Arabidopsis thaliana: one gene and its partners. The protein of the gene in region 2 interacts with the protein of the main gene of each other region in a pairwise test. Each region holds a gene or a part of one and is shown on either strand. Other genes may lie near its edges.

What was found.
Region 1: the proteins of AT5G59990 (region 2) and DAZ3 interact in a two-hybrid assay, tested with the Arabidopsis thaliana proteins (one large-scale study listed by BioGRID).
Region 3: the proteins of AT5G59990 (region 2) and TCL1 interact in a two-hybrid assay, tested with the Arabidopsis thaliana proteins (one large-scale study listed by BioGRID).
Region 4: the proteins of AT5G59990 (region 2) and AT2G18670 interact in a two-hybrid assay, tested with the Arabidopsis thaliana proteins (one large-scale study listed by BioGRID).

The regions. Positions count from the first base shown.
Region 1 is NC_003075.7:16,919,371-16,926,380, reverse strand, and holds DAZ3 (zinc finger (C2H2 type) family protein), read right to left. Parts: upstream 3,063-7,010; 5' UTR 3,031-3,062; coding exon 2,203-3,030; 3' UTR 2,047-2,202; downstream 1-2,046. Other genes in the region: AT4G35710 (DUF241 domain protein, putative (DUF241)), read right to left, coding at 229-1,080; AT4G35690 (hypothetical protein (DUF241)), read right to left, coding at 3,641-4,495; AT4G35685 (DNA-directed RNA polymerase III subunit), read right to left, coding at 6,632-6,929, 7,003-7,010.
Region 2 is NC_003076.8:24,149,085-24,157,402, forward strand, and holds AT5G59990 (CCT motif family protein), read right to left. Parts: upstream 4,118-8,318; 5' UTR 4,001-4,117; coding exon 3,608-4,000; intron 3,349-3,607; coding exon 3,190-3,348; coding exon of another isoform or gene 3,178-3,189; exon of another isoform or gene 2,767-3,177; intron 2,296-2,766; coding exon 2,122-2,295; 3' UTR 1,850-2,121; downstream 1-1,849. Other genes in the region: GAF1 (Polymerase/histidinol phosphatase-like protein), read left to right, coding at 1-494, 590-699.
Region 3 is NC_003071.7:12,966,460-12,974,098, forward strand, and holds TCL1 (Homeodomain-like superfamily protein), read right to left. Parts: upstream 3,782-7,639; 5' UTR 3,602-3,781; coding exon 3,532-3,601; intron 3,395-3,531; coding exon 3,307-3,394; intron 2,401-3,306; coding exon 2,304-2,400; 3' UTR 2,106-2,303; downstream 1-2,105. Other genes in the region: AT2G30430 (uncharacterized protein), read left to right, coding at 1,717-1,953; TPP (thylakoid processing peptide), read left to right, coding at 6,785-7,381. UniProt on the Arabidopsis thaliana protein: MYB-type transcription factor involved in trichome cell specification. Acts as a negative regulator of trichome patterning and formation by direct binding to the cis-acting regulatory elements of GL1, thus suppressing the expression of GL1.
Region 4 is NC_003071.7:8,089,891-8,097,895, reverse strand, and holds AT2G18670 (RING/U-box superfamily protein), read right to left. Parts: upstream 4,677-8,005; 5' UTR 4,428-4,676; coding exon 3,886-4,427; intron 3,448-3,885; coding exon 3,444-3,447; 3' UTR 3,117-3,443; downstream 1-3,116. Other genes in the region: AT2G18690 (uncharacterized protein), read right to left, coding at 1-246; AT2G18685 (uncharacterized protein), read left to right, coding at 2,869-3,072; AT2G18680 (uncharacterized protein), read right to left, coding at 2,253-3,116; PNP-A (plant natriuretic peptide A), read left to right, coding at 6,252-6,366, 6,466-6,736, 6,858-6,864.

The DNA of each region.
Region 1 (7,010 bases), on a different chromosome or scaffold from region 2:
AGTTTATGAAACTTTCTGACTAATTTTGTCATTTTAAATTATGAGTCGTAGATGGTTTCATAAGATTTATGGGTATATAACTGCAATGTTGATTCTATTTCACACAGTTTGTAATTAGTGTACAAAATATTTTATATGCTTTTCTATTATTCTATATAATGCAACCCTCCGGCAAATTCTCTAAAACCGAATGCTCACGAAGGTTACATTGCATATATTAACTTCTTCCTAATGGGAGATTATGTTGAGAATCGAGGCTCGTGTTCTTATCAACCTTCGAAACAACCCTTCTAGATTTCTCTCGAACCCACCAATGCACATCTCAACCTCTTCAAGCTCATTTTGAAGATCATCATGAGATAAAAAATCTCCGAAAATCGCGGAATCTAATGTCTCCAACACGTTCTTGGCTGGCGCATGGTTATCCTTCTTCATCTTTAGTACCGACGCCAACTTGCTCTTTATGTTACTTTTTCGTCTGGACAATAATTCCAAGAACGACTTCAATACGACGACACTTACCGATACCACTCGTCTCACCCTATCTATAACCGCCACAAGTTGTTCATCTTCATGATCATTATCACATGAACGAGTCCCTCCATCGACTTTCTTCAAGGATCCTAGAAGCTTCTTGGCTTCTTTTCTCATGTTCTTCCTAAATCCGACATAGTCGGAGACAGCGACATCGATTTTATCTCCTCCTCCTCCACCAGATACTTTCTTTCTTCTAACATATGACTGAACGCCACGAACATGCTCGTGAGTCTCCACCATTAGATCCCTTGAGACGCTGCAGATATCCATCAGCCTCAACGAACCATCAAGCATTTCCTCCATGAATTCCGACCCACCAGAGGACATAACCCGTTGCTTTGAACCCATTTTCAGAAACTCCTCCAGAAAAATGTAGAGCTCCTCCAAACCAGCCAAGCCCATCAAGATCGACTCGGATGAACCCGTCGTGGTGTTAATTGTTTTAATCTTATTAAGAGATTCTTCGAGCCCACTTGTGCTTGGTTGTGATCTAGAAGGTAAACTTATAGATCTTAACTGTTTCTTAATGATCATATTCGCCATCTTTTGTGTTTTGATATAAGGTGTTTTAAGGGTTTTTGTGTTCTTTCTTCTTTGATCGATCTGTTTTATTCAACTTGCCCTACACATGCCTATATATATAGCAATGGTTTTTGAAACGTCATCAACCAACAAAACCTCAGCAATAATTGATGTTTTAAATTTCATTGGTCCGATTATTACTGACAAATCTGTGGCTCTCTGACCTGTCAGATTATTATATTGGTCAAATTGAGAAAGCTTGATGAGTCATAGTCTCTGTTGCCTACAGATTCGCCACATTATCAATTGACCTTTCGCGTTCTTGAAGTCGTTTTGGTAGGTTATGAGATCCGGATCTTTCTCCGACCATATTAGGTAGTTTGCTACTTACGGTTCCTCAGGAATAAAAAGATATATTCCATATAACAAAAACTACATCATTGCCTTCTGCATAACGTCTCGCACTATGACATGTGCAAGAGGGGCACTGATTTTGATTAGATTTGCTTGTCAGTTGTCACTGGTGGTTTGATTTGATAATCGTGGAGTAGACTTTTAACAATTTTACATATTCTGATTGGTCAAATGACATTTCCATTTAATTACCAATCATTAACGCTAATATTTGTAATACTTCGTTTTTCTTATGGCATATAAACTAAATTTGGGCATATTCTGTTTTATTCAGACTCAACGTTTTGCAAATTTATTGAATGTGCTATTTTCTTGTCTCCTTTTTTCACTGTTGCGATAATGCAGTGTAATTAACAAAAAATGTTTTTGGGGTTTTGTTTTTTCATTTACATTTTGTATATTTTCGACATAAGTGAAATATATTTAAATAATTTAAAAAATAGGATTAAAAATTATTTTTTTATGCAAATGGGATATGGATTATATAAATTCGCTTTTCACATTTTCCCACTCAAGGTATAAGTTTACATAGTGTTTCAACATATCAATAGTAGAGAATATATTATTTCATTCGCGCATTTATTGTTGCAATTTGGAAAAAAGTTATCTTTTCAAATAACATAGATTAAGAAGTAACAATATCATAGTTAGTATATTCATTTCACAGCGACAAACCGAAGAAAAAATGTAACTAAGGAAAATGATTTGCATGTAACAAGAAAATAACTATCACTCGACTTTATCATCGTTCTCTTCATCACCGTCTGGTGGGGGGGACCTATTCAGATCAAATTTTCGCTTAGATCCAACTCCAATTACCTTGTCTTCCTCCTCGACTGGATCGGCATTTAAGTCAATCCTCGCCCTTCCGATACTTGAAACAAGCCCTTCACCATCGGAAGAAGCCGTAGCGAGTCCACCAGCGGAAGAAGCAGTAGGGACTTCACCAACGGAAATAGCAGTGGCTACTGCACCACCGGTTGAAGCAGTAGCAACTCCACCAAATCCTTCCTCAGCAGCATTGAATGTTGGCGGAGGAAGAAAACCTAGATACCCTCGATCCTTATGCTGCCTTAGATGTCCAAAAACAGCCTTCCAAGAAGCAAAGCCCTTCCCACAAACATTACACATAGGAGGGCCTTGCGGCAGATGTGTCAACTGAGTAGAACCTTTCTTACGGGGTTTCTTGACTACCTCTCCTTCAGTAGTGGTCACCCCAATAGGGGTACAACCAGATGCTTCGGCCAGCGCTTCCAATAATACACGGGGTTTCCCAACTTTTATGATTTCTGGAGTTCCACTAACGTCACCGGTACCACTAGCACTTTGTTCTGTATTCCCTGTGGCTTCCTTGGCGGCTGCCACGATCAACTTCGCCGCGGAAACGGCTTCGTTACGGATGCTTTCATCCACATTGAGACTCTCACTAAGTCTTAGTGCAGGAAGGCCAAGAACAATTTCACGTATGTCTCCTTCTTCATCGCTCCAAAGATAATCACTCTCGTCAAAATTCTCATTCTCTTCCTCAGCAATTTTAGACTTCTCGGGATTACTCATAATTTCTTCTTTGCAGAGATTTAGAATACCACGTCTTCAATTTCAATCGAAGTGGTCTTTATATAGTTTCTATGACCACACGGCGGTTTATGACCGTTATTTTTTTATGTGTGTCTAACGTGTTCGCTCAGATCTCTCTCGCGCCTTTTCTTTAAAAGGTTGCGTCCGTAGGATCCAATCAAAATCTCGTTTTGACGAAATTGCCCCTGCCAGAACTTACGCTTATAACTTGGTTTCTTCAGTTGGTATGAACCGGAAAATAACTAAACCGGTACACATGTGACCCATGGTCCGAATTCCCACCTCTTCTTATGAATATCATGATTTTTTTGGATTAAGAGTCTAGTTCTTTTGTTTTTCTTTCTGTAAGATTTTAATTGTAAATTTATAAATATGCTATATGTATTTTAAACTTTCATTTGTTCATGTATTAAAGTCTGCCTTGTGTATATATCAATGCATTATTGTGTATATTTTTACAAATTAATCTCTACAAAATTATGTTTAATTAGTGTACAATATCTTATCCATGCGTCTATGATGTATCCCTCCGGCAGATTCTCTAAAGTCGAATGCCTTTGAAGGTTACATTACATGAATACTTTAAAACCTAATGAGATATTATGTTGAGAAGCGAGGCTCGTGTTCTTATCAACCTTCGAAATAGTCCTTCTAGTTTCTTCTCGAATCCATCAATGCTCATCTCAACTTCCTCAAGCTTCTTTTGTAGATCATTACGAGAACAGAATATCTCGAGATCCAAATTCTCCAACTCGTTCTTGGTCTCCTCAACATGGTGAACCTTCTTTTTCTTTAGTACCGAAGCCAGCTTGCTCTTAATGTTACTTTGTCGTCGTCCGGATAAGAATTCCAAAAACGACCTCAACACCGCGACGCTAACGGAAACTACTTGTCTCATGGCGTCTACAACCACCACAAGATGTTCTTCTTGCTCACCATTATTTACTGATGATGATGAACTTAAACCTCCATCAATGTTCTTCAAAGATCCAAGAAGCCTCTTAGCTTCTTTTCTCATGTTCTTTCTAAATCCGACATACCCCGCGACGGCGACATCGAGTTGGTCTTCTCCTCCGACTACTTTCTTTCTCCTGACACATGATTGAACACCACGAACATGCTCTTGAGTCTCCACCATGAGATCCCTCGAGACACTGCATATATCCATTAGCCTCAACGAACCGTCAAGCATCTCCTCCATAAACTCGGATCCATCAGATGATGACATAACCCGTTGCGTTGAGCCCATTTTCAGAAAATCTTCCGTACAATTGTAGAGCTCCTCCAAACCCTCCAAGCCCATCAAGACTGATTCGGACGAACCCGTCATGGTGTTAATCGTTTTGACCTTGTTAAGAGATTCCTCGATACCGGTCGTGCTTGGATGCGAGCTTGAAGGTAAGCTTATAGATCTTAGTTGATTCTTGACGAGCATATTCGACATTTTTTTTTATATAATATGCTTTTGTTTTGATTTTGTTCTAGAAATGTGTTTTGAGCTTTGTATTTTGCTTTCTTGATCGATCTGTTTTACTCAACTTGCCCTACACATGTATATATATAGCATAGGGTTTTGCGTATCAACCAACAAAACTTCAACAATAATTGATTTTTTAAATTTGATTGGTCCGATTATTACTGACAAATCTGACTCTCTTAGCTGTCGGGCTATTATATTGGTCAAATTATTTGGCCACAGAGATGAGCCTGATGAGTCATCGTTTGTGTTGCCTCCTGTTTTGCCACATTATCAATTGACCTTTCGAGTTTCTCAAATTTAAAATGATCGACGGTGTTAAAATGGTCTCGGTAGGTAACGAGATCCAGATCTTCCTCAACTGTATATTATATAGTCCCTTCTATTATCCAATCATCATTTTTAGGTTGCTTATAACGAAAATATTTTTTAAACTGCCGGCTACATGGTTTTTCTCACGTTCCAAATCTTATCAAAAAAAGAAAAATATTCCTTGTTATGACACGTATAAAGAAGTGCACGAGTTTTGAGATGATTTGCTTGCGAGATATCACTGACTTTGTGTATCTGATTGACAGATTCTCATTATCCTGGAATGGTTTATTTAACTTGTTTACTTATTATTAGCAATCATAAGAAGCTCGTAGAAACCAAACTAAATCCTTTAAATGAGTCCGACGGCTAACAGCTAATACCTGGAGGCTCCAATTCTTGACTGGAGTGGACACCAAAGGCCTCTGCCCGGCCAATCCTTACTCGACAGTTCCGTCCTTTCTTAGGTGGCATTTTCAACAGGCATGAATACAGCATCGATAGGATAACTTCTGTCTTCAAAGTTATTTGACATTCTCGTGGCAGGAACAGAACAACAGGAAAAGAAAGACCCGGGGCCGACCTACCCAGAAACGGAACCAAAAAATTGAACACAATACAGATTTCTTAAATTCTTTGAAAATTTATCAAATATATATTGGTAACTAAATCAATATTAATTCGATTTCTTGTTTTTTTTTTCCATTTACTGAAACCAAAATTGATTGAAGAAATTATAACAATTCATTTAAAACCAGATCATATGAATAACACTTTGCAACGTGTTGTGGGGCAAGTTAACACAGGGAGACAAATTAAATTTTACAACATATACAATTCTACCATATATATGCAGATATTGAACCTTTTTATATGCTAAATGATAGGGATACAAACCACAATAAAACTTGTGAATTTTTTTTTTCTTTTCAAAACATCTAATCTCTCAGGTATTTGTACTTAAATTTTTTATTAAAAAAAAAAAGTATTTGTACTTTCGTATTAGAAATCTTCGAAAAGATTTTAATTTGATAACTCATGAATGAAAAACCCTGATTTTAACAGAAACGAATTCGTCATAATTAAAAGATACTCTTTTGCGAGACGTAATGTTTAAATTTCCAATAATTGGTTACTACGAGACTAAAGTACTAATTTGTTACAATGCATTATAAAAAGGCTATGAATAGTTTCTAGATTCATATCAACAAAGTATCCATATAATTAGCCTCATCGTATTTTGTCACAGTTCCTTACCCAAAGTACACGTGTAAAAGCTTAATATGTTTGTTGGAAATCATCTTTTATGTCTTGACACCAATTATATGTTCCATCACATTATGTTACTGTTCTTATTAATATATTAAGATCTATAACAAACATTCTTTTTTAGCAGTAGCTATTGGCTCCACGTAATTGTCAATGATCTTTACTTATTGATGGTAACTACCACGTCAATGATATCTTGCTAAAATTAGAAGAATCTTACACCAATTATGAGTCGAATAAGATCTATCTAGAAGAAAAGGAGTGTTCAAGTAAAGTTATGTTATCAGAAAATGTTTTTCTACAAACAATAAGATTTGTCCACGAAACCTTCACCAACTACAATTTCTAAAAATTGGTACAACTAAAAAGATCATCATTCATATGCAACCATCTGCACCCATAATAGTGCTACTAACTTTTATGGTGTAAAATTTCAAGATGGTATATGCTTATTGAGAAATTACACCAAATAGTCTTCTCTTGACTGGAAAACTTGATTCTTTTGGGAAAAGGAGAAGCAGCTTAATACACCTCTTCAAATCCACCATCCTCCTCATGATTATAATCGTCTTCATCATCATCAAAGTCTTGATTCTGATCATAATCTCCGTTATCTGATTCTTCTCCTTCTGATTCCACAACTTGTTCATCATCTTCTCCGTCTTCTTTCTCTTCATTGCCTTGAGTCTTAAACTTAGACTCAAGCTTCTCAAACACATCCAATTTCTGCAAATCAGCTTCTTGACTCCATTTAGCTCTCTTCACAGGCCGTTGTTCTCTTCGAGTATCTCCAACAAGTTCTTTAGAGAAGTTATCAGGTCTAAGAAGAAGAAAATCAAAGAAAGATCCATACTTATTAGACTTCATCTTCGGCTTCAAACGAATCTGAATACCTCTCAAT
Region 2 (8,318 bases):
TCATGCTAGTAATGATGAGATGCATATCACTGAGTCTGGACACCACGCATCCATTGATGATGAGAAGCATATCCCTGAGCCTGAACACCTCACATCCATTGCTGATGAGATGAAAATTGATTGTTCTTCGGAAGCAAATCACGACGAGTACATGGAGGTCACAATGGAAGACCAGATGCATGAAACAGGTGACAGTAAGATTATTCTTCCTAACTTATCCTCTGAGACTACCGATTTGCTAAGTGAATCAGGTAAATCTCTCAGTCCAGATGCGGTTGTGCAAGACCATGACGAAGCATCAAGACTAGAGTCCGATGAGACAAAGCTCGAGGAAGAGGCATCAGTTCCAAACCACAACACCTTTGAGATAACAATGGAAGACAATAAGGTCGAAGAGTTAACAATTGAAGACGAGAAGGTTGAAAAGACTGAAACCGAAGCTAGTCACCAAGCCCAAGTCCAATCCTCTGAAAATAACAATGACACAAAATCAGGTACGAGATCTAAGTTTCCTCATTTGCAAATCTAACCTAACACATAAGTTTGGAGTATAGATTTCAGTCTAATGTTATATCAATCCATAATGTAGGTAAGACGCAAGCTAAGAGGAGTAGAGTTCGTTTACCGCAACTAAGGCCTTTCAAGCCTTTTCTACTTCAATCAAGGTTCAAAAGGATCAGTAAAAAAAGAAAACATTGAAGAGCTTGATCATTCTTATAAGTACAAGTTTTGTCCATTAATTTATACCCACGCAAGTCTCGTGGTTTCATTTTTGAACCGATTATAAAATGGGGGAAAGAAAGAATCTAATTTATTCTCTAGAGTTGATTCTTTGTGTACTCGTGTTCAAGAAAAAGGCTTTTAGTTAAAATATTAAAAAGGAAAAAAAAAAGTTAAAAAGATTTAAGAGTGGAGGAGTCGGTAAATCTACCGCCGGCCGACAAAAGTCGGGGACAATGTCGCCGGAGGGCCTACATCTCCCTCCATAGCCATTGCTAAAGAAGAAAGACTGCTCTCTTTCCTTTTTCAAAACTACTTTATTTATAATCTAATTGAGAAGCATTATTCTTCACATTATTACTAATTACCTACTTGTGAGAAAAATTATTCTCTTATTACTAAAGATGCCTAACATTCAAATTATTTTCACTTTTAAATAAAAATAAATGATTTTTGTTACTGTTGGAAAATAATATAGTCTTACAATCAAAGTAACATTTTTTCTTGCAAAATATCAAAAGTGCTGAGAAACTTTTCCATAGCTTTTTTTTTTGGCAAAAATAATTGCTAGTATGTTTTCCTCTAGCTTTTTTTATATACTGACTTATGAGAATGAATGTATGGGTTGATTACTTTAAGTTAGTTTATTTGAGTGGAAGCTTCTTTGATATCTTAAGAATTCTTAAGGTATATAATATATGTTTACCTTTGGAGATTGCTAGTACTTAGCACGATGTGTAATCAACGTGAGAGTATTATGAAATCATCAAAGTAACATGGCCATGTGTTCATTATATGTTTTTCAATGCTAAAAGTTATCATCTTTGTACTTTCTAAATACTTTTGTAAATCAAGTTGGTAAAAGAAAAATCAGACCATTAAGGAACATACTAAACTATACATTAACTATTTAAGGGTCCATATACATTAACGATGTGTAATCAATTTGTTTTAGTTGGAGTTCGATATTTTTAATTGTTTTATGTATATCGTTTGCAACTCACTTATGGACTACCGAATTTAAATGACGGATCTAATACGGCGACGACGTTTTATCTCAAATCCACTTTGTTCTCAATAGGTGAATATCGTTTTGTTTTGCCTTTAACCTATCTAAAACCCCATTTATCTCACTTATAGAACTCAGTGCCATGCTAAGACAATTGCAATCGTCAATTGACAAAGTGGCATATACCACTCATGCAGAATTGTATGGCCAGTGAAAAAGGATTAGTTTGCAAATATCTCAGATCAAAAATACAAGATATGTTATTCTTATATACAAAGATAACACAAAACCTACACATGAGTTTAGCAACATGGGGAAATCTTTTAAACCAAAACAAATTAAAGTGCCATATATAAACATATATAAGAAAAACAAACATAGAAGAGATTAAATTAGTTGAGGAAGTGATTAGCAGAGAAAGAATCAAGAAAAGATGCCCACGTGTCGACATCTCCTACCACGGCTTCCATAACATCAACTTGTTCTTGTTGTGAGATCTCATCATTTCTTGCAAATCTCCCTCTTATTCTTGGCCTACTGTCCGCTAATGTCTTCCTGCATTCGTACTAATAGAAAGATAAAAGATTATTATTAAACCTGTCCCAAAGTATTGTGATAGTTTTTAGATCATTCACAAGTCAAAACTTGTCGGTCAAAAAATTATAACGCGAGCAGAAATATCTCATTGAGATACGGTTTGAATATGTTAGTACATGAATACTCCAATCCGATCTTTAATTAGCAATGAAATATATTTGTGGACCTTCTTGTAAGAAAAAACTAATGGAGAAAAAAACTTGTAGCAACCTTGGAGCTTGATGTGTCTATCTCAAAGGATTCCTTAGACCCAAATATGATGTGACAGAACATTAATTCTCGTTCACATACTCATATATATCAGATGAAATTCTATTTATGTTTGAAGATAAGATTGAAAAGAAAAATTCAATGTTACTTTTTAGTGATAAGAGTGATTGATATGATACATTGAGCCTGTTTTTTTTTTTTTTTTTGGTCAACGAACCATTTAGTTTTGTATTAAATGTGAAAAAAAAACAGTATTACTAAGAAAAGATATCTTATACATTTGATTTTAAGAAAATAGACATTTATATATGCTCTTGTGTATGAAATTATACAGAAATCATTATTAGTTGATTAATGAAGAAATTTATAGGAAATTGTATGCTTGATTAGAAAATGGTTGCATCAATATATGTGAAGGTGCATGTCACTGTTCCATACAACTACTGTACATGTCAAGTCCTCAAAAGTTTTCCATGCGACACATATATACACATGTTGAATATATAATATAGGTTAGGTGTACATGGACTCTATGTGATGAAGAACAATATGAATCAAATGATAAATTCTTATATGTTAAAATAAGATATAAGAATTTATGCTAACAAACAGTTTAGAACAAAGAAACAACTGTAAAACATTTATAAAATTACCTTAATCCTCTTGTTGAAATTCCTAAGGTTTCGTTTGCTACGATATTTCTCGATCTTTTCTTTCTTCTCCTCAGGACTATACTTGTAGGCTTTGCTCATTCCTTCTATTATTGCATTGCTCTCACTCCACACCGTACTGCTCTCTCTTCTGCTACTCCTCTACACACATACCAAAACAGTGTCGTCTTATGTTATGATAGAATTATTATTATTTTCAAATAAAACCCCAAATTTTAGTATGTTTAGATAATTTATTTGTGTTTTGGTGTTTTCATTTTACACTCTTGCAAAACCATAAAACAAACCAACAATATAATGTTTCGTTTTATAAAATGTGAAAAATTTCATACGTAAACGAAAACATAAAAGTTAACGTTTGAAATCTCGAAACTGCAAGTGTGTATATAATATTACTTACGGGTAGATCTCCGGCGCTAAGGGCCCGTCTCACTGGCCCATCATCATCGTTAACGAAATCATGGGCCGCTGTGTAATTACCGGAAAAGCCATTATGGCTACTAACACTCCTCTGCATAACAAGACTCTCTCCGCCACTCCCCATAGAGCTTGGCGAGTCGCAGCTGCTGCTTCCACCACCACCGTTCATGCCGGAATCAAAGTAACCGAACCCTGAAACCGCCTCGGCCGCGTATAGAGAGTTTTGGCTCATCATAAGAAGCGCCAAAGGCGGAGGCGGGAACTGATGATGATGATGATCAAGCAGCTGAGGAGGAGCCACTATGTCGTCGGAGTATAGAAAACATGGACAGTTGTCGCCGGAGGTTATAGAAGTGCTGACGTGTCCACACATGGTGGGTTTTAGTTTATTGTGGTGTTTATGTGTCTTTGTGTGTTTGTTTATGTGTGTGTGTGTGAGTGAGTGAAACTCGAAGTGGTTTGGTTTCTATTTAACAGAGGAAGGACTGATGCTGACGTCATTAATCGTCATCTGAAGTCAACTGACTTAACCGTTGACTTCTTTTGACTGACTAGGAAAAAAGGAATCTTTAGGTATAAAAAGAGTTGCCTTTCGTTTTCAGGTCGCTTCTATCTCACTCTCACCCGTTATTCTTCAAACGACATATATTACACGAAATTGAATCCGACATGTATTATACGAAGGTGAATTTGGATAGTTGAACAAAAATGATAATTATTTTTTCATTTAGGTTTAAAAATGTTTTCATTAAAAATAGAACTACTACTAAAAACAAAAATTCAAATATACTTACTTATATATAGGTTACTGATTAATATGCTATCAATTATAAATACAGAGGAAGAAAGCTAGTGACAAATAATTACTAATTATAACCAAGTGTTGTTAATTCAATTAGTAAAAACCCTAGACGAAACTTAGAGATCGCCAGTTCGAATGACGTTTAGAACAAAAGTAATATTATATGCTGTAGTTTCGGGTACGGAGGGATTACGGGTTTCAGTCCAAAACCTCTTGGTATTCAAAAAAAAAAATACTAATTATATTGAATTTCAAAAAAATTGTTATTATATTGAATTTTATAATTAGTAAACTCTTTCTTTTTTTTCAATCTCTTTAACACATTTACGTTTCAAACTAAATGGCGTTATAACATTTTTTAATGTATTAAGAATTTCACAACGATAATTGTTGTAAAATGGAAGGCATAATCATTTCTTGAAACAGTAAATTTACTGATATTTTCGTAAGCAATTGTGTTTTAACTTCAAGTCCTTGACGAAAAAAAATATACAATTGTGTTTTAAAATAGTAGATAGATAACATCTCGTGCAACATTCATAAATCATAACAGCAAAAGAACAATGTAAAGAAAAATAAAATAAAATAAAGGACACGACTTAGCTTTTTAGCTCGAATTGTATAGGAGAGACAAAAAGATGGTTAAAAGCATTATTTCACGCAAACCCATGTGAGCAGCATACAAATCTACTTTTTTGCCTAATTAATCATTAACTTAATCAACAGTAATAATTAATTAAGCTCAGATACTTGATTGCTTTGGTTATGTTCACATTAAACGGGTGTTTAGTCCGGTCCGGATAATTAACCAGACAAGACACGATAGTACTGCTCTGTATATGAATTGTATATCTGTTCCAATCCATGATTAGTCAGGTTAATTAGCCAGAATTTTTTGTTTGGAATCAAATCGATTTAGGTAACATATCGAGAGAATATCTCAAACGAGTTATACATAGCTACCCCTACGGTAAAGTATATAAATATTGTTTTTTTTTATAGATATTTTGTTTACGATTAGTTACATTCCAAGAACGAAATTCGAATAGTAGGATCACTGCATATATACCAATATATTGTAGGAACACGTTGTAGTCAGTCACTAAATTGGCCTACTCATCATCATCATCATACATAATACATAATCACTCATTTAAGAACAAAACAACTTATAATTTCCTGTTTAAGCCTCACTCCATAATGAGGATACATAATATCAACCCAACTCGTGGTGTTTGTTTAGTAGAAAAATTAACCCACATATCACATTATTACTACTAGATGATATTGATTATATTTATCTAATTCAGTCCAATCCAAGTTTAAACTAAAATGATTATATATCTATATGTATCCAAAATATTTCATTTGGATGATGGTAACAAACCGAACCAAAAATGAAAAATCAAATTTGTTACATCTAAAACCTAAATTTGAACCAAAATTAACAAAAGTGCACTAACTTAGATAGTCTTCCTCCTGAAATGTGTATACAATCTTCCCTTGTATTAGGGGAAATGATTGTTCTTCTCCATTACATTCTATATATACAATATGGGTCCGTCGATAAATTTATTTGAAGAATTTTTTCTCGTCGATATCACTTCTCTAAGCCAAATATATAATTTTATTTTATTTATGGGGTACGAAAGCATCTTTTTCACTTAAGAGGATCGGAATGTAGGTCCATTAGAATCAACGAAATAAAAATTAGTTATATTTTTTTTCTTTGATTAACACAAACTTTCATTTTTTATGCGCCGGAAACTAGAGCATGTAAATTAGTCTCCTCTAAACAGGTCAATTAGTAGGAAGAGAGCTGTAAATCTCATTTTGAGAGAGTATTTTCAAACAACACTAAACCATCATCTATTGGGATTATCTATAGTTTTTTTTTATCGATTACTCTTCTTTTTATCGTCAACGTACAAACATTAATGTCGATTTGTGTTTGTTCCGTATCCACCACTCTTATTGTAATTTCTAAATATACTAGCTGTGTTTTGCAAACATTTTTTAGGGAACGTTGAAGACATTTCAAAACTTAAAACAAAGTTGCCCCACATAATGTAGAGACATAAATAATAATTCGCAATCGTTACGAGGACATAGGATCTCGATTCCAACAGTGGATAGATGTACTATGGGACTAATTAGAAAGACATTTTGTGTATCCTTAAGGGCAAAATAGCCACAAGTTGATGGGAAAGGTCATGCAAAAGCAAAATCTATAGATCAATCGATGGTAACGAAGACTTTTTCTATTTGGTGGTAAACTTTGTAGCATAATGTACCAAAAACAAAACGTTTCATGCTATGGTTGGTTCATAACTAGTTTCGAGTTTTAACGATCCAATAAGAATTGTTCTTTTTGTTTTTAATAAATAGTGTTTTTGTTTTTGCATTTCTTACCACCACTGGAGCAAATTATTGGTTTTATACTTTCGCAAGTCTCTCAGTAACCCACTTTGGTTATTTGCACACAACAATTATATACCTAGTTGTAGTTTCAAGAAGGTCAACGGTTCATGAAAACGATGATAGAATAGGGGAGATATATATTTTAGTATTTATTCCTATTACTAATGAAATTATATAAATAAATATAAGTAATACTATAAAATGAACTTAAAACTGAAATTAATATAATCGTGTGAAAACGTTACTACTACTACTACATTTGGTGAAAATATGAATTTGCATTTTGACTTTATAGCATGAATTCATACATAAACAACGTATAGTATGCATACAAAACTTTTTCATGGTATTATGCGAGATGTTTGATTTTACAATATATTAATGGCAATATGCAAATAATATAGTCCAAGCCTATAGAAAGCAATGATAATAGCATAAATGTAGGCAATGAGTACACAAAGAGTTTATGATCAAAAGAAATGAAATGTGTAGGGTTACTTGTTCTTGGTTGAAAGAAAAGTATGTTCCATACAAATCAAAGAAAGACGGTGTGATTTAGATGTTTTTAAGTGATCCCATCATTTTGTTTTATTGTTTTCTCTATTCTTTTTAAATTGTTAATTAGGACTCGTGCATGTGTTTCTATGCGTTTGTCCAATCTTCTGGACAAGAGAAAAAGGTCAACAAGCACAATAGTTTCTCCACCATTTTCACATATTCTCCATTCACGTAAATTAAACTTTCAAACTTTGGATACTTCGTCTGTTTTTGGCCTTGGAATTCATATTCGTTACAAAAAAAAACCCATCAGATTAAGAAATATCTATAGATGTCTAATTTTGATTTTTTTTCTTGTTATTTGAGATTATAAATTCAAGTTTAATCCATATTGACATATACTACATCTACAGTGTACATACATAAATAAAGAACAGGAAGTCAGGAACATACCATAACTTACTTGGTATAATTAATGTCAACACTGCTTTTATCATTTTCGCTTTGGATGCTATTATATATGTATAAATGAGTGGATGTATATGTCGAACAGGATCAATATTGGCTACATAACCGTAAGGCCAAGATTAAGAGTACAGGAGGAAGAAGTAACTTTCCAAAATAGGTAAAATGGGTTAGGCTTTTGAAGTAATGATATTTCTTTTGATTTGGTGAGTCAACGGGATGCATTTGTATTTTTTGTAACTTTGAAATATAAAAAAAAATGTTATTCGTTTTACCTTTGTAGGTATCAACCAAAAAAATGAGCCTGTTTTTCACTAGCAATTTGTTGACCACGCTTTTTTGAAAAAAGAACAGACGCATTATATAACTTACTTAATTATTATATTTTGAAACAAATTAAGTTTAATCCTTTGAAATTTGAACTTTTTTTTTTGATAAAGATGAAATTTGAATATATATATATATATATATATATTAAGTTTGCTGACACCCAAATTTATGTCAT
Region 3 (7,639 bases), on a different chromosome or scaffold from region 2:
AACTCCAACAATCTGTTAATTTGGTGCGGTGATATTAGATCTGTACGTGGGCCGAAATCGTACTCGTCCTAGTAGATCCGAGCCAGTAACCACTATGCCACACCAATGAAATTTCTGATTTTTTGTACTTTGTTTTCATTTTTAGCATTCTACACATATTACCTTTTTTGTTTCTCAACATACATTTTACATACCTTTTTTACACAATTATACATATACGCACTATTTATGACTGGAGTCAATAAATGTCTCAGTGATAAATAAATTCAGTTGATGTAATAAGAAACTGACACGTATAACAAGCTCAATTATATTCAAGGTTTAAAGTTGTCTCAGTTAATGTTCATGTCTCAGCGTGAAACTATAAAGAACCATATATATATATATGTATACATTATTATACAACATTTAATTAGTACAAGACAAATCCTAGGCCTATTAACTAACGAAAAGAACCAAAGGTTTATCCTCGACTAGGCCTATTTAGATAGTTAGATGGGCAAAAGAGTAGTGCGCGTCATCGCTGGGGCTGAAGTAAGTTCATTTATATGATTTGGTTTCTAATTTCAACGATCTCTTTTGATCAGTGTTCCGTCTCGTTCCAGCTTCGTACTTGTAACATGTGTATTGATGCTCTTGCTAAATCAAGTTTGTTCTTTTGATAAGTTATTTTCTTTTTCTTGGTTTAGAGCTTGGAAAGAAATTTGAAACATCAGACATGGTTGCAGTATGTCACTTCAACTAACGTTCTTAGAGCTTGCCCTGTGACAAAGACATACCTTATATCTATAAGACAATAACGTATCTACGAGATATATATATATATATATATATATATATACGAGTGATGCCAAATTTAAAAGCCAGATCAATAAGTATCAACTAGAAAAACAAACAAAAAGACATGCATGTTCGAATAAATACATGGCTTGTTGATTGGTAGATGTTTGATCGATTTAAGAACTTGGTCCACAATATGTCTCTAAAGTGGTCCAATGATTTTAAATGTGAAGTGCGTAGATTCACTTCAGCGCACCCATTATATGAGTGAACAGAATGGATTCAACTTAGCCTCCTACACAAAACTTACACATATTTACTGTATGAATGTTAAGATTTTACTCTATAACTATAATTATCAACATTAGTTAACTATAATTTTACTCTATAACGATAATTATCAACATGGAAAAAGTATATTATCAAAGAATCTAAACTAACACTAACAATCATTCTCGGTCAACTTCTGCTAAAAATCTCCAACTAGCTGAGGAAAAACTTTTTGAGACTCACGTACTGTCTGAGTTTTGGAGTTCTTGGCAACCTCAAACGTACAGCTAGCTATTTGCCACACCAACCACCCAGAAACAATGAAAGAACCGAAGGTGCATGAAGGTCTCGTAAAGATGTTGATTTACGGGACAAGTTGAGAATATCTCTTTCGGCGTATGGTTACTGCCACTCTGCCAGTCTGCCAGCAGTTAATGTCCCTCTCCGATTCTCTGGCCAACGTTGAGTCGCCAGAGAGTGATTTTATTGAGAGTTCTGAATATTTAGAGAATAATACAACTAAATGTCGAATACGGCCCAATTTCAGTCATGTTTTATATTTAAAGCCCACTAACTTTTCCGCAAATTACTTGGACCTATTACTATTAGTACTACGAATGTTCCCAATATTTTGGCTCTATAGAAAATGGTGGAGTGATTTTGGTAATGCATCTTCTCAACATACTGAACGACACATTTGACAGCATCCGATCCTCAACGGAACCATCATCGATAATTCTCTGTCTTATTCCACGAGGCTTGATCTGTGCTACTGATGGAAGAGAATCCACATGGGTCAAGGGCGTCACAAGTAGCACTACGGTCCTTCTCATTGGCCACATTCGTACATTTTTCAAGGAAAAACTTCACATTCAAGCCAAATTCCGATCTCATTTTGGATAGAACCCTTGCATACCACGGTTCATGTTTTTGACATTCTACCTTCATATTCCCATTAACTAGTTGAATTCTTTTCATGCATTGTTATAATGAACTTATCTCGTATCTAATCAATCATATTCGGGTCTTTGGTTGCTTATGCTTTAACCGAATGTGTCTTATAATCATAGAGGTTTTTTCTGCCAATTAAAGTGGTAATTTCCGTGACCATAACAGATTTAATGATGAGGAGAACCCCACTCGACAACTTAATAAAGCTTTTCTTGTCCACAATCACAGAAATTATTTAATGAGGATGAGAAATAGAAAAACAGGGAGATTCTCGAGATTTTTTAAAGAGAGTGACTTTTGCGTCATTTGTGGGAGAAATAGTCACAATTTCTCATAATCCAGTATCTCTCTATCTCCTTTGCCTCACGTCCCACCACTCTTCTTGCTATTAAATCCCACCTGATCATATGATTCAATTTGTGACCAACATATATATGTTATTATTAGTATTCTGATTATTGTAAAAAAATGAATTATTAAAACTAAAATTACATTTTTGATTTCATTACATTAACAGTCTATATATTTATATAAATTTAAAACAACAATAGTTTTTCTATTTCTAATTAATTTAAGTATTAAGGTTTTAACACATATTAAGAACGAATAATTAAAATTTGATTATAAATATATCATTTTGTGATTAATAAATTTCTCTAACTCTAAACCAATAGTATTATTTTTTTTCGAGTTTACAGTTCATCTCATGATTAACTAAAGAATGCATAGAAAACTTGATATATTTATGAAACAATTTATTTTTTGTAAGACTTGAATTAATTAGAATCAAAGGGAAGTATTATAAAATAAAAAAAATTATAGTATAGTTTATAACAATTGTTAGGCAAGTCATCGATTCTTTATATAAGCTTCAGATTCGAATTATTAAAAAATAAAAATTAAATATTGAACAGTCTTAGAAAATATGGATTAAGTTTAAAAAGTAGTTTTTAAAATAAATTTGGTATCTAAAATTATTTTTATGTAAAAAAAACTTTCAAAATATATATATAACTATAGATCCGGATATTTTTTTTTATAAAAACAATTATAATATATGATCCAAAATTTGGTGTGGACAGATCCTGACTCTCACGACATCCGAATTTTCAGAACAAGGTAAAAATGATCTTGGATAGAAGCTTGAATCACGGCAAACAGTTTTATCCCTCACACACAAACAAAAATATTTAATTGTTAAAGCACATATTTTCACACATATTATAATACAATTAGGTCAAGAATTTAATTTTTCTATTTGGAACTAGATCAATATATAAACAGAAGAAGAAAAATGTTACGTGCCTGTCGCCAACAAGTCTGTACATTCTAAAGATGAGATCTTCTTCTTGTTCGGTCATATTGATAAACTCCCATTTCATACTACTCACTTCTGCATTTTAGTTAGTATATAAATTCAAAATATCAGTGAAAACGTACATCACAAAACAATTTAATGTTACAGGTCAAATGAATGAGCGTAGACCAAAAGGAAGAACAATTAGATTTCCAACTAAATCAAAGACAAACCTTGAGAGCTATGAGTGAACTTGGGTTGTTTATGACAGTGAAGGCGGCGAAGACGGTTTGTGTTATCCATTAGTATGTATTGGAAACAGCGAAACAGTATGAACACAAATATTATTGAGAGAAACAAAAAAAATTGGAGTTTGGAGAATGCAAGCGAAGAAAGAGATGTGAGGTTTACAAAACTATGTAGAGACACAAAGAGAGGTCCCCAACTCTCCTACTTGGCCACATAACCTTTAACTTACAAAATATAGGTACACCATAACTTACTGAATAAATTAAATGCTAAAACTAATTTTCAGAAGCAAAGCAGATCACAAATACAAACATTTTAAATTATGGATATCATTCCACTTTGTAATAATAATACATGCATATGATATATGTTGTATTTATAAACGATATATTATTATGTATTCAAAATGAGGAATTTATTATAAAATATTATTTTTTTGTTTGCAATTTGTATGTAGTTATTTTTTCTTATCTTGCAACTTTTATCTTTTTAATAACTTTGATGGAACAAAGTGGATACATAAATTTTAACATAAACTAGGAAACTATATAGTATATCCGGCTCTTTTGTAGAAGATATGAATCATAAAATACATTCTGATCCGGCAAACTAAAAAAAGGAACGAATTATAGATACCAAACAAAAAAGCCTAGTTGTTGACATACACAACAAAATATGTGACATACAGAAGGAAAGGACGAATAATTGTTTTGGAATTTGCATGCATTTGAATTCGAGTACTCATAATCTTCTAAGCGAAAACTTGCGAAAACTTTATCACCTATAAAACATTGAAAATATTGAAACCAAATGGGTGGTCTAATAGTTTTGAAAACTAATGTGTGGGTCAAAGTCACTAGTTTAATACTTGAGAGGAATAATTTATGCTCTAAATAATCAACCACAAAATTTTCGATCTTTCACTCACTCACAGAAAGGAAAACAATTCATTGCTAAAGCGTCATGACTCACGTTGCTTGAATCCTTAAATTTTTTTTGTTGTTGTATGGAAACATCCAAAATCTAACATGGTTTATGAATTAAGTCGCAACTGATTCATTTTATTATGTTTTCAGTACTATAACGTGTTACATTTAAGTGAAGGACATCACATATATAAGTATACACAACAAGTTATCTAATCCAACTAGTCCAAGAAGTTTTTATTTAATCAACAAAAGAAGCAAGGCTTAACATCGAGTTCCTCGACTAAGTCTGTATATCCGCTCAAATCGGAAGTAGACACAATCACACAATGGTTTTTTTAGTCTACAAAAAATCTAACAATTTTGATTTTGGCAAAAAAAATTGTAAAATAAAATTCATCTATATTGGAGTGTATTCTAACAATTTTATCATAGCAAATAGTTTTATGGTTTTAAAACACTAAATAACAGAAGAGTTTTCGTATTTAAATTAGTAAGTTGACCACCACTTAAAACCCAATCTAAATATAAGCCTGAAAGAAAAGAAAAAAAAAAGAAGAAAAAACCCCTAGATTGTTGAAAGTTGAAACCAAGATTTGTCGACAATTATTTAATGTGGTACGATGATTATAAATGTCATGTACGAACGACTTGACTAGGTATTAAACCACACCCAATGAACGGTACATGATTCATGTGTTAACCTCCCCCACTGGCAAACTTACATATGATTCATGTTAACATCCCCCACTGACAAACTTACATATGATTCATGTTACTTTTTTTTTACGCCCTCGATTTGATTTCTCAAACCTAACAATAAGAACCATTTGTATCCACACATATGACCTAATTTGTATTTATTACCTACCTATAAAAAAGTACTTATCAAAAGTTAAAATTAACATTAATGTATCAAGCATACTATATTTGAATTTACATATGTATATAATATAACTTTGCACTGTGGTTCTACTTTTAAGTTTTAACTATATTTGACATTAGATAAGGATCTATGATACATATTAAATTATAATATTAGAAATACAGGAATCTTTTTTATCAAATTCATTATTTATCTATATATATATAGAAGTATTGTAAAATTATTTGAAGTTATACAGTACTGATTCTGCTTAGTCTGTCAGAGTTACAATAAATCCCATAGTTAACCATGTAGACCCACTTCATAAGGGAAGTAAATAGTAAAGGCATGCATATGTTAAAATTCAAATAAAATATCTTCTTTTTTTGTCAAAGAAAGTTCAAATAAAATTTCTTCTAGAACAATTCTCAGGAATCTGATCTGTATTCTTAAACTATTCTAATAGAATATACCGTCGCATCTGATTTTTTATAGAATGTGCCGAGTCATTTTTATTTTATTTTTTAACACAAATGAGCAGAGTCTCATGTGTGACTCTTCTCTTCATATTTACTCTTTTTAACAATTGTTCAGTCAATTTCTTATTGTTCTACACTAAAAACTATCATTAACATGACAAACCAAAAAGAATCCATCATTATCAAGATATATAGGTTTTGATATCTTCTTTTGTTAAGTACCTTAGTTGGTCTTCTTCCCCAATCTAGTTTCTGGTTATTGTTTGTTTTTTTTTGTATACTTTTTATGTTCAAGTTATATAAGAAAACCCTTTCACAAAAAAAAAAAGTATATTCAGGGAACCAGAAATGTTTATCAGTTAATTTTTTTGTAAAACAATGACATGTTTTATCCTTACTTAAAAGAAAGTAATATTAAACAAAATATAGTGGTTTCGTTCGTCAAGCATAACAAATGAAACGACATGATCGTGTGACCCAATAAGCCCAGCAGCCGGATTTGACTTATCTCCTTCTTCTTCCTTTTCGGTCAAATGTTTGACTTTCTGCTAAAAATAACAAAAATGAATTTTAAAATTGAGAAAAAAGAGTTTCACCTTCACCAATCACCATTTCTCTCTACTCGCCAAGAAGTTTCCTTTCCTTTGATTGCACAACTAATCTCAAACTAAAAGATCTTCTCTTTAGGCATACCCAGATCTTTCTCTCTCTAAAGTCTCCACCTTTCACGGTTTTTTGCTTCTCACCTGAATCCAATCAATCTCGCCGGAGTGAATTCACCTTCCTCCGGTTGACTCGTCGGACTTAGTCCGACCTTTCAATTCGTAGATTCTGTTTACAATTCACTGATCGTTTGATTAGAAATGGGTTACTTGTTCTTCTAAGTCTCTCTTTAGCTGAAAGTTTGTTGCTTTACGACTCTTCGATTTACCCTTACTTGTTCAAGTTCTTCATCAAATTCGTAGTTATGGCGATAAGAATCACTTTCACTTACTCCACCCATGTTGCTCGGAATCTCGTCGGGACCCGTGTTGGTCCCGGTGGTTACTGCTTTGAATCCTTGGTTCGTCCTAGATTCTTCTCCCACAAGCGTGATTTCGATAGATCTCCTCGGAATCGACCTGCATCGATGTATGGTAGCATCGCGAGGGAGCTCATCGGAGAAGGAAGTCAAAGCCCGCTTGTGATGGGTTTGATCTCGATATTGAAGTCAACGACGGGTCATGAGTCGTCAACGATGAATGTTCTGGGGGTTTCATCTTTCAAGGCTTCTTCTATTATTCCGTTTCTTCAAGGGTCGAAATGGATTAAGAATCCACCGGTGATTGATGACGTGGATAAAGGAGGAACAGTTTGTGATGATGATGATGATAAGGAATCGAGGAATGGAGGAAGTGGATGGGTTAATAAGCTTTTGAGTGTTTGTTCTGAGGATGCTAAGGCTGCTTTCACGGCGGTTACTGTTTCTATCCTTTTTAGATCAGCTCTTGCGGAGCCAAAGTCGATTCCTTCAACGTCTATGTACCCTACCTTGGACAAGGGTGATCGCGTTATGGCGGAGAAGGTATGAATTCTGAGTCTGTTCATGTATAATTGTAATCATAAAACATAGCTGATGATGGATGGTGACTTTTTCTACACGGTTCTGGAATTAGTTCTTGCATGTTTTAGGATGGAGATAGTTGTATGATACTCTTATGTGATTGAATGTGAAGGTTTTTCTATAGGTGATTGCTAGACTTCACCTTGAGCTTTGTTTAGTTGCTTGATGTAGGTTTGTGAATGAGGCTGTTTTAGTCTCTTTATGACTAAACTGACCGTT
Region 4 (8,005 bases), on a different chromosome or scaffold from region 2:
CATAAGGCGGGCTGCGTATTCCGGGGAGGTTGGATCTGTCGAAGGCAACAAACTTGCTTCAAGGATCAAGTTTGTGATCTCCGGTACGATGACAAAGATGTTCAAGAAGTAAACTAAACAATTGAGTAAGAGAGGGAATACCAAGACTGAGAACATCAACTTTTTGTTCTTGAGAAACAGTTTGCGGGATTCATTTAGAATAGCCACAACATCCTTTACAACATTCAAGAAGGAAAATCGAGCCATGGGTTTCAAGAAGAAAAATGAGAAAAGCTCTTGGCTTATTGGTTTTTGGTAATGGTGGCGAGGGTTTATAAGATCAAACCTATCTGTCTAGGGCTTATATACTACTAACCAAACATTCAAAAACTACTATACCTTTAGATTATGACCAGCTATTTTTCTATGGAAAAAGAAGTCTTTGGCTTGTATTTCGGGGTAGCTTCGCTTACGGAGATTCTTGTCATCCATTTGATTGAGTCCAAGTACACGGAACCCTCAATATATTATTATTACTACATATTATATCCAAAATCAAAGGAAGAAACCAAGACTTAGACAAATCCAAGAACAAAGAACCCGAAGCATAATGCATCGATGAAAAGTCTAAAAATGATGACTTCCTGACCGCGTCATAAATGAAGATGTTATATAAAGAAAATAAGAGGAACATGTTTAACATTGCAAGTTGACTTCTTCATCAAATGTACGTGATCAACATTCACTTCCTCTATTCGTGTTGAAAATGTCAAGAAACCGTGTAAGATAATGAAACATCTATCTAAAAAAAAAATTTGTTTCCTCAAGCGAACAAGTCATCATGAATGAGTCATAAACAGTAGGGTCAAACTATATGCTATACCAAACCGTCATTATATATTTATATTTAACCGAACATAGAAGAATTAGAGCTTCAAACATTCTTTGAGGACGTTGCAAATTGCTAAATGATTATAACTTCTAATCCAAATATGATTGAAAAAAAGAAAAACAGAGCACTTACAAATCTAGCAAACTATTTCTTCCATGACCAAAACATATCCATAGTTCTCCTTCTTGTAGAACTTCCTCCTTTAATCTAACCTCTCTTTTCTTTAAATCTGATCTCTTTTGTTTTTAAGGTAAGTAAAATTTTTAACATAATATAATTAAACTTTTACGTATCATCCATCATTTTTGCAAATTAATTACCAACTCATGGTCGTTTACTTACTACTTTTTCGTTACTTATGTATAAAACCTTTTATACCGCTTAATAAATAAGTTTCCCCATTGTAATAACAATGTAGGTTTTTTTTTTTAATAATATTGTTGCCAATAAATTTTAGACTGAAATTTGAAATATATAGCCCAAATCAAAATTCACATTGAAGTTTATTTTTGGATTTTTTGTTTTGATTATTTCTTGATAGTTACATAAACCGGTTTTCAAACCCGAACATGTTCAAATAAAATTGAGAGAAGTTTCCGACATTTTTAGTCTTATCCTCAAGGAGTGACACGGTGAAGCTAGATGTCCCAACAAGGAGTCAACAAAAACACTTACCTTAAACACGGCAAATCAGATTTTTTATATCCTTACAAATGCATTATGTTAAATTTATACTTAAATTCGAATAATGAGAAATCTGAATTTCATACTTACACTTCATGTTTTGTGCATAATCATGCATATGCTCTAACTCTGTTATTGTACCGTAATATCTTGACTATGTGAAATTCATGTGTGCACCTACGTGAATTTGTTTTATGCAAGTTTGTGGAGAAATCGGCTTTTTCGTAGCTAAAGACTATAATATTGTGCTAAAACATACCTTATGTAGTCAAAAACTATAATTTAACATGAAATACATGTATGAAATTCAAAATTCTCATTACAGAGCTATGTTGTAACATAATGCAATGCGATATGATATGAAAAACATTTGGGATTTGTTCTTCTTATTTTTCTAATTATTATTTTGGTTTGCTTTCTATAGTTGTTGTAGTATAGTAGTTTTCTCATTTTCATCCAAAAGGATAATCATGTCATATGCATTGTACAGAAAAGCAAAAATACCTTGCTAAATATATACATATGCAACCATACCTTAACACAAAATATATTTTCAACCAAACCTTTGATTATTAATTACTTTTATAAATTACAAAAAACCTTGGATTATTAGAAATACTTTACCAAATCCATGGTGAACTTTAACATTCTTAAGAAACAAACGACCCACGTATATTTATGTATTATACATGCCTAATCAAGGCAATCCTCCCATGAGAGTAGTGGATGACAATTTCGTATATTCAACATCCCTCAGCGAGTCTTGTCCTTGCAGGCTCTTACATTGGAAATAAGCAACGGTGTAAGTCACAAGCTGAAACATCCTCACCACAAAGACCGAACTCATAAGGACCAAACCGGTGGTTAAGGTAACCGAGAATGAACTACTCCAATCGACCAGCCGCAAGATTTGAACTAATCCAAATGACAATAACCCAAAGAAAAGATTCAAGAGGAATAGTTTTGGCTTCATCCCTTTAACAATCTTTGCAGCTTTCCCCAAAGCTTGGATCCCATAAGTATCCTCGAGTATCGATATGACCATAGATAAGTTCCAAACGATAGCTAAGTAAGACTCAAAGACTGCAAATACAATGAATAAAGCGCGAGATTTGGCTGCCAAGGAATCGAGTTTTGTAGAGAAGAAAACGATAGAAAATAGGACTATAAAGAATAGGAACCAATAGCCAAGACTGAAGAGAACAATATAGAAATTGGTCACAAGAGGTCCCTTCCAATATTTAAGCGTCAGAATCGGAAAATCTTTGATCTCGAAGCTATCATCTTTATGAGTAAGAGCCGATGCATGAACCATGACAAGAGTGGATAAAAGGTTGATGATGGAGGAGACGGCGATGAAGATGTATAAAGAATTGACAAACTGGCGAAAATCTACAAAGACTCTCATAAGATGGGCAGCAAATTCCGGGGTGTTTGGATCTGTCATAGGTAACAAACTTGATTCAAGGATCAAGTTTGTTATCTCGGGTTTGATGGCAATGGCGTTGAACAAGTAAACTAAACAATTGAGTAAGAGAGGGAATACCAAGACTGAGAACATCAACTTTTTGTTCTTGAGGAGAGTTTGCGGGATTCATTTAGAATACCCGCAACCTCCATTATAACATTCAAGAACGAAAACCGATCCATGGCTTTCAAAAAGAAAATGAAAAAAAAAGCTCTTGGCTATTGCTTTTTGGTAATGGTAGTGAGGGTTTATATGATCAAACGCCCATCTGCTTAGTGCTTATATATTACCATAAGATCGACCCGCTACTTCTCTATGGAGGAAAGAGTCCTTGGCTTGTATTGTACCTCTTCGTAGCTTCAGTTTTGGAGATTCTTATCATCCATTAGACTGAGTCCACGTCTACATAACCACACAATATTACCTATTCAATCAAAAATCAAACGAAAGAAACCAAGACTTAGACAAATTCAAGAACAAGAAACCGAAGTATAACACATCGATGAAAAGTCTAAACAATTACTTCCTGACAGCGACACAAATAGAGATGTTAAAGAGAGAAAACAAGAGCTCGGTAACATGTTCAACAATTCGTGTTGAATCGGTCAAGAAACTCTGTAGCACCGTGTTAAAACTGAAAACGACTACATATCTATCTATTTATATATTTTTCGAGAGCTTAAGGGTTCTAATCATTCTATAAACCAATAATGAAGCAATTAGTCTCCTCCAACGAACTAGTCATCAAGAACGAGTTAGAAACTATAACTATGTTGAATGAGCTTAAAACATTATTAAATGATTATAACTTCTAATCCAAATATGATTGAAACAAAACAAAAACAAGAAACATAGCACTTACAAATCTAGCAAACTACTTCTTCTATGACCAAAACATCTCCATAATTCTCCTTCTTGTGGATCTTCCTCCCACAATCTAACCCTAGCTCTGCAAATAGGACACGTCGAGGCTTTGAGCAACCAAGTGTCCACACACTTTCGATGAAACACGTGTCCACAACCAGGAAGATTCCGACACCATTGTCCTTGTCTGAATCCATCAAAACAAACCACACAATCGCTCTCGTACCGTGTGTATGTGCTAGGTTCGGAGAATTTGAATTGAGGAAGCTTTTTCACGAATCTTGAAGATAACCCATCTGAGGATTCTTGTCGGCGATTACGACGACGACGTCGGTGGTGACGATGGAGAGAAGAGAGGAGGAGAGGGAGGATAAGAACAGAGGCGATACCGATAAGAACGAGGAAGAGAAAGAAGATTGAAAACATGATTACACCAACGAGGAATAGAGAGAGAATCCTTGTTTTCGGTTTTGGCGGTGGATGAGACGGCGTAGTAGACGGTGGTTCGCCGGAGATTCGGTAATTATTGGTCGGAGGCATCGGAAAGAAAAAAAAAAAAAAGAATTCTCCTCTTTTTTTGGTTGTTTCGTATTCTGGCTTATCTTTTTTTTGTGCTAATAATTACCAGAATCTAATGTGAAAGCTAAAGAAGGTAAGATTTGATGTTTTGAGCGAACTGAAATGCTAAATCAAAGACATTTCCAAAGTAGAAAATGACGCAATCAAAAATATTTGTCAGAGCAAAATTTAAGAAAGAAAAATAGATTTCATTTAGTGACAGTAACGTTTGGTTAAAAATGGTCATGTGATGAGATACTTTTTATTTTACTTTTTGGGCTTTGGATCATGTGATAAAAGATTTTAATTTTTATATATATATATAAATTTTTTTGGCTCCATGTCTACAAGAAATATAAATAATAAGAAATATCTTCTCATCCAATAATTTTAAACATTATCTTGAAGGATAAGCAAATATCATCATCCCACTGTTTTTAAGACCATAGTATGGAAAAAGATGGAATATTCGAACTTATAATTTAGTTTTAAAAGTAATATTCGTACTTGGAGGCCTATGGAATCGCTACTAATTCTAAATACTCGTTCTGAACATAGCTTGTCGTTTGATTCGGACGTTTTGAAATTTTGTACATTCTTTTGGTTTGCTCTCTTTTTTTCTTAACAATATACGTTTTGTAAATTTAAACTTGGACGATGATATAACAACACAAATGACATATGCTTAAAAGTTAAAATCTCATTTTTTATATTTTGAATCTTTGATTGATGAATTATAGCGACAAGCCGACAAAGGCAACTTCCTCGGTAAGGGCAATCGTTATCTTAAGTTTAATTTGATCAAATCTCTTTCTCAGCGATAGAAAGTTTAATTGGTATATAGAGATTTGGGCCTTTACATAAAATGATATTTGAAGGCCCACTAAGCCCAATTATTTTCCAGAATGTTGAATTCATAAACGCAGATTTACTTGACATGATAACAAAGAGAAATTTGTCTTGATTCAAAAAAATAAAATAAAGAAGAGACATTTGTCTTTCTCTTGTAAAAGAGGTCAATAAAGCAAATTTGTTTTTCATACTTCATCATTTGACTAATTTTATTGGTGTTATGTAACAAACCGAATATTGGAGATATCTTAGGGAGCAAGTACGTGAAGTCCGAAGAATATTCTAGATTTCACTATTACCTTTTGTTCAAGTTATTTTTTTATATGTTTAGAAAAGTTGAAGAACAATCTGACTCGGATACCATGATAGATTTGGGCTTTTAATATGAGATTTCAACTAAAAATCAATTGGTAATAGGTGGAGTGACCCTAACACTTTATATACTATTTGATAATTTTTAATTTTTAATGTGGGACTTTCTTCATTAACACATTTTGTTTTAGTAGATGGTCCTAACGTTAGAACCTAACACTCATCAGAAGGTTTAAAAGACGGTTATACTTTTCCCGATGGTTTTGGATTTGGGTAAGGTTGAGAATTTTCTCAAGGTAGGATTCGAAGTGATGTTGAGAATACCCTCCTTAGTTTCTTCGAAATTTCCTTCGCAGCTTTGTGAAAATAATATCCACAAAGAAAAAAAAAATGAACTTTAAATTTCAAACCCTCGTGGAATTTTCCTTCACACATCATCATATATTCATATTCATTCAATTCACCAAGAAAATTTAGGTGGAGTAAGGAATAACAAATTGTCCTGTATGAAATCAATACAATAAGTAATGGAAGACTTGACGTAGACCAAAGACTTTTCCTTTTACTTACAGTCTTTGAGTCCAATTATATATAAATACTCGCTTCCCTTTGCTTCGTTATTTCACAAACAAGTTAAAGAAAATGATAAAAATGGCAGTAAAATTTGTGGTAGTGATGATAGTGTTTGCACAAATCTTAGCTCCAATCGCTGAAGCTGCTCAAGGAAAAGCTGTCTATTACGACCCTCCCTACACTAGTACGTCTATATAATTATACATATGTTTGTTTCATATATATAAATATATATATTATAAAAATAAGATATGATCAGTTATAAATTAATGATGTGATTTAGGGTCTGCGTGTTACGGAACACAACGTGAGACGCTGGTAGTCGGAGTCAAGAACAATTTGTGGCAAAATGGTCGAGCTTGTGGTCGGAGGTACAGGGTTCGATGCATTGGTGCTACATACAACTTTGACAGAGCATGCACCGGGCGTACCGTAGACGTGAAGGTAGTTGATTTCTGCCGGGAGCCTTGCAACGGTGACCTTAATCTCTCTCGTGACGCTTTTCGGGTTATCGCTAATACTGATGCCGGTAACATTCGTGTCGTATACACACCGTAAGTTTCATTCTTTCATCTTTTCATCGTATCCAAAGTTTAATATTGTCTTGATTTTTTCAAAAATAAATTCGCCATTTAATATTGTCTAGATAAATTTGACAATTCTTTTCTTCTGCAGGATATGAAGTTGATCCTTGATATACACTATAAGCAAAAAAAACGAGAGATGATTTCGTGGTACTATATATTCCAATAAATCGAATGGAACTAATATATATTGGGCAAAATATTCGTTAGATCCGCTTCGATTCGGTATTTGATTTGATTTGATTCGAAAAATCCGAATATCCGTAAGATTTTAGAGCAAAGCAAATAGAAAAATATAGTATTCGTAAAAACCGAATCAAATAACAAATATTGTTTTTAAAAAAATCGAATACCCACTTCGATCCGTATCTTTTTATATATATTAGAAAATATAGTTATATCTATATATAGATATCATAAATAGTTTGTGTATTGTTGTCATTTTATGTTTTTATGTTAAGATGTTTGTTTGATCATTTTTTTTTCATGTTATGTTTTGATCAATGGCATAAAAAACTATCGGGTTTTAGTTTTTGGAATTAGTTTGATAACAGTTTGTTGACTGGTGATACCAACAACGGTTATGTTTGGTATTTAAAACTTATTTTGAAAGCATGTTAAAAAAAAAACTTTGAATATCTGATATGGTTATCCGCAAATATCACAAAAAATTCCGAATATTCGAAATTTCGGATATCCGGAAATTTTTGAAGCAAAGCAAATCACAAAATCAAGTATTCGTTTAAAATGAATCGAATAACAAATATCACAATTTTTCCGGATATCCGCTTCGTGCCCATACCTAATATATATGTATGGATGATCCTTTGTGATGAGAACATTGTGTTTCAAATAAGAATTCCACTTTATCCTATATTAATTTACAATTTTCCGTATACTGTTAAGTATTAAGTATTAACCGACGGGTTTTACTAATTTAATGTCTCTTTGGTAGGGTTAAAACTTAGAACTGTTTAGAAACTTATAGAACAAAATAAACTATATTTTCCAAACACGAGTTAAGAATAGTTTGATAATAAAAAAAATATGTCCGATTAACATAGCTCTGTCTTTCAAGTTCAAAACCTAAAAAACGAAAACATATATGTATAGTATGTGAGTATGTCAAAACTCAAAACGGAGTGGGCAATTTCTGGTTTTTAGATTTTTTTTAGGAGTGTGTGAGTGGGCTTTCCCTTACCATCTCCTAAAATCGAGCTAACAAAATCTATTTCACTT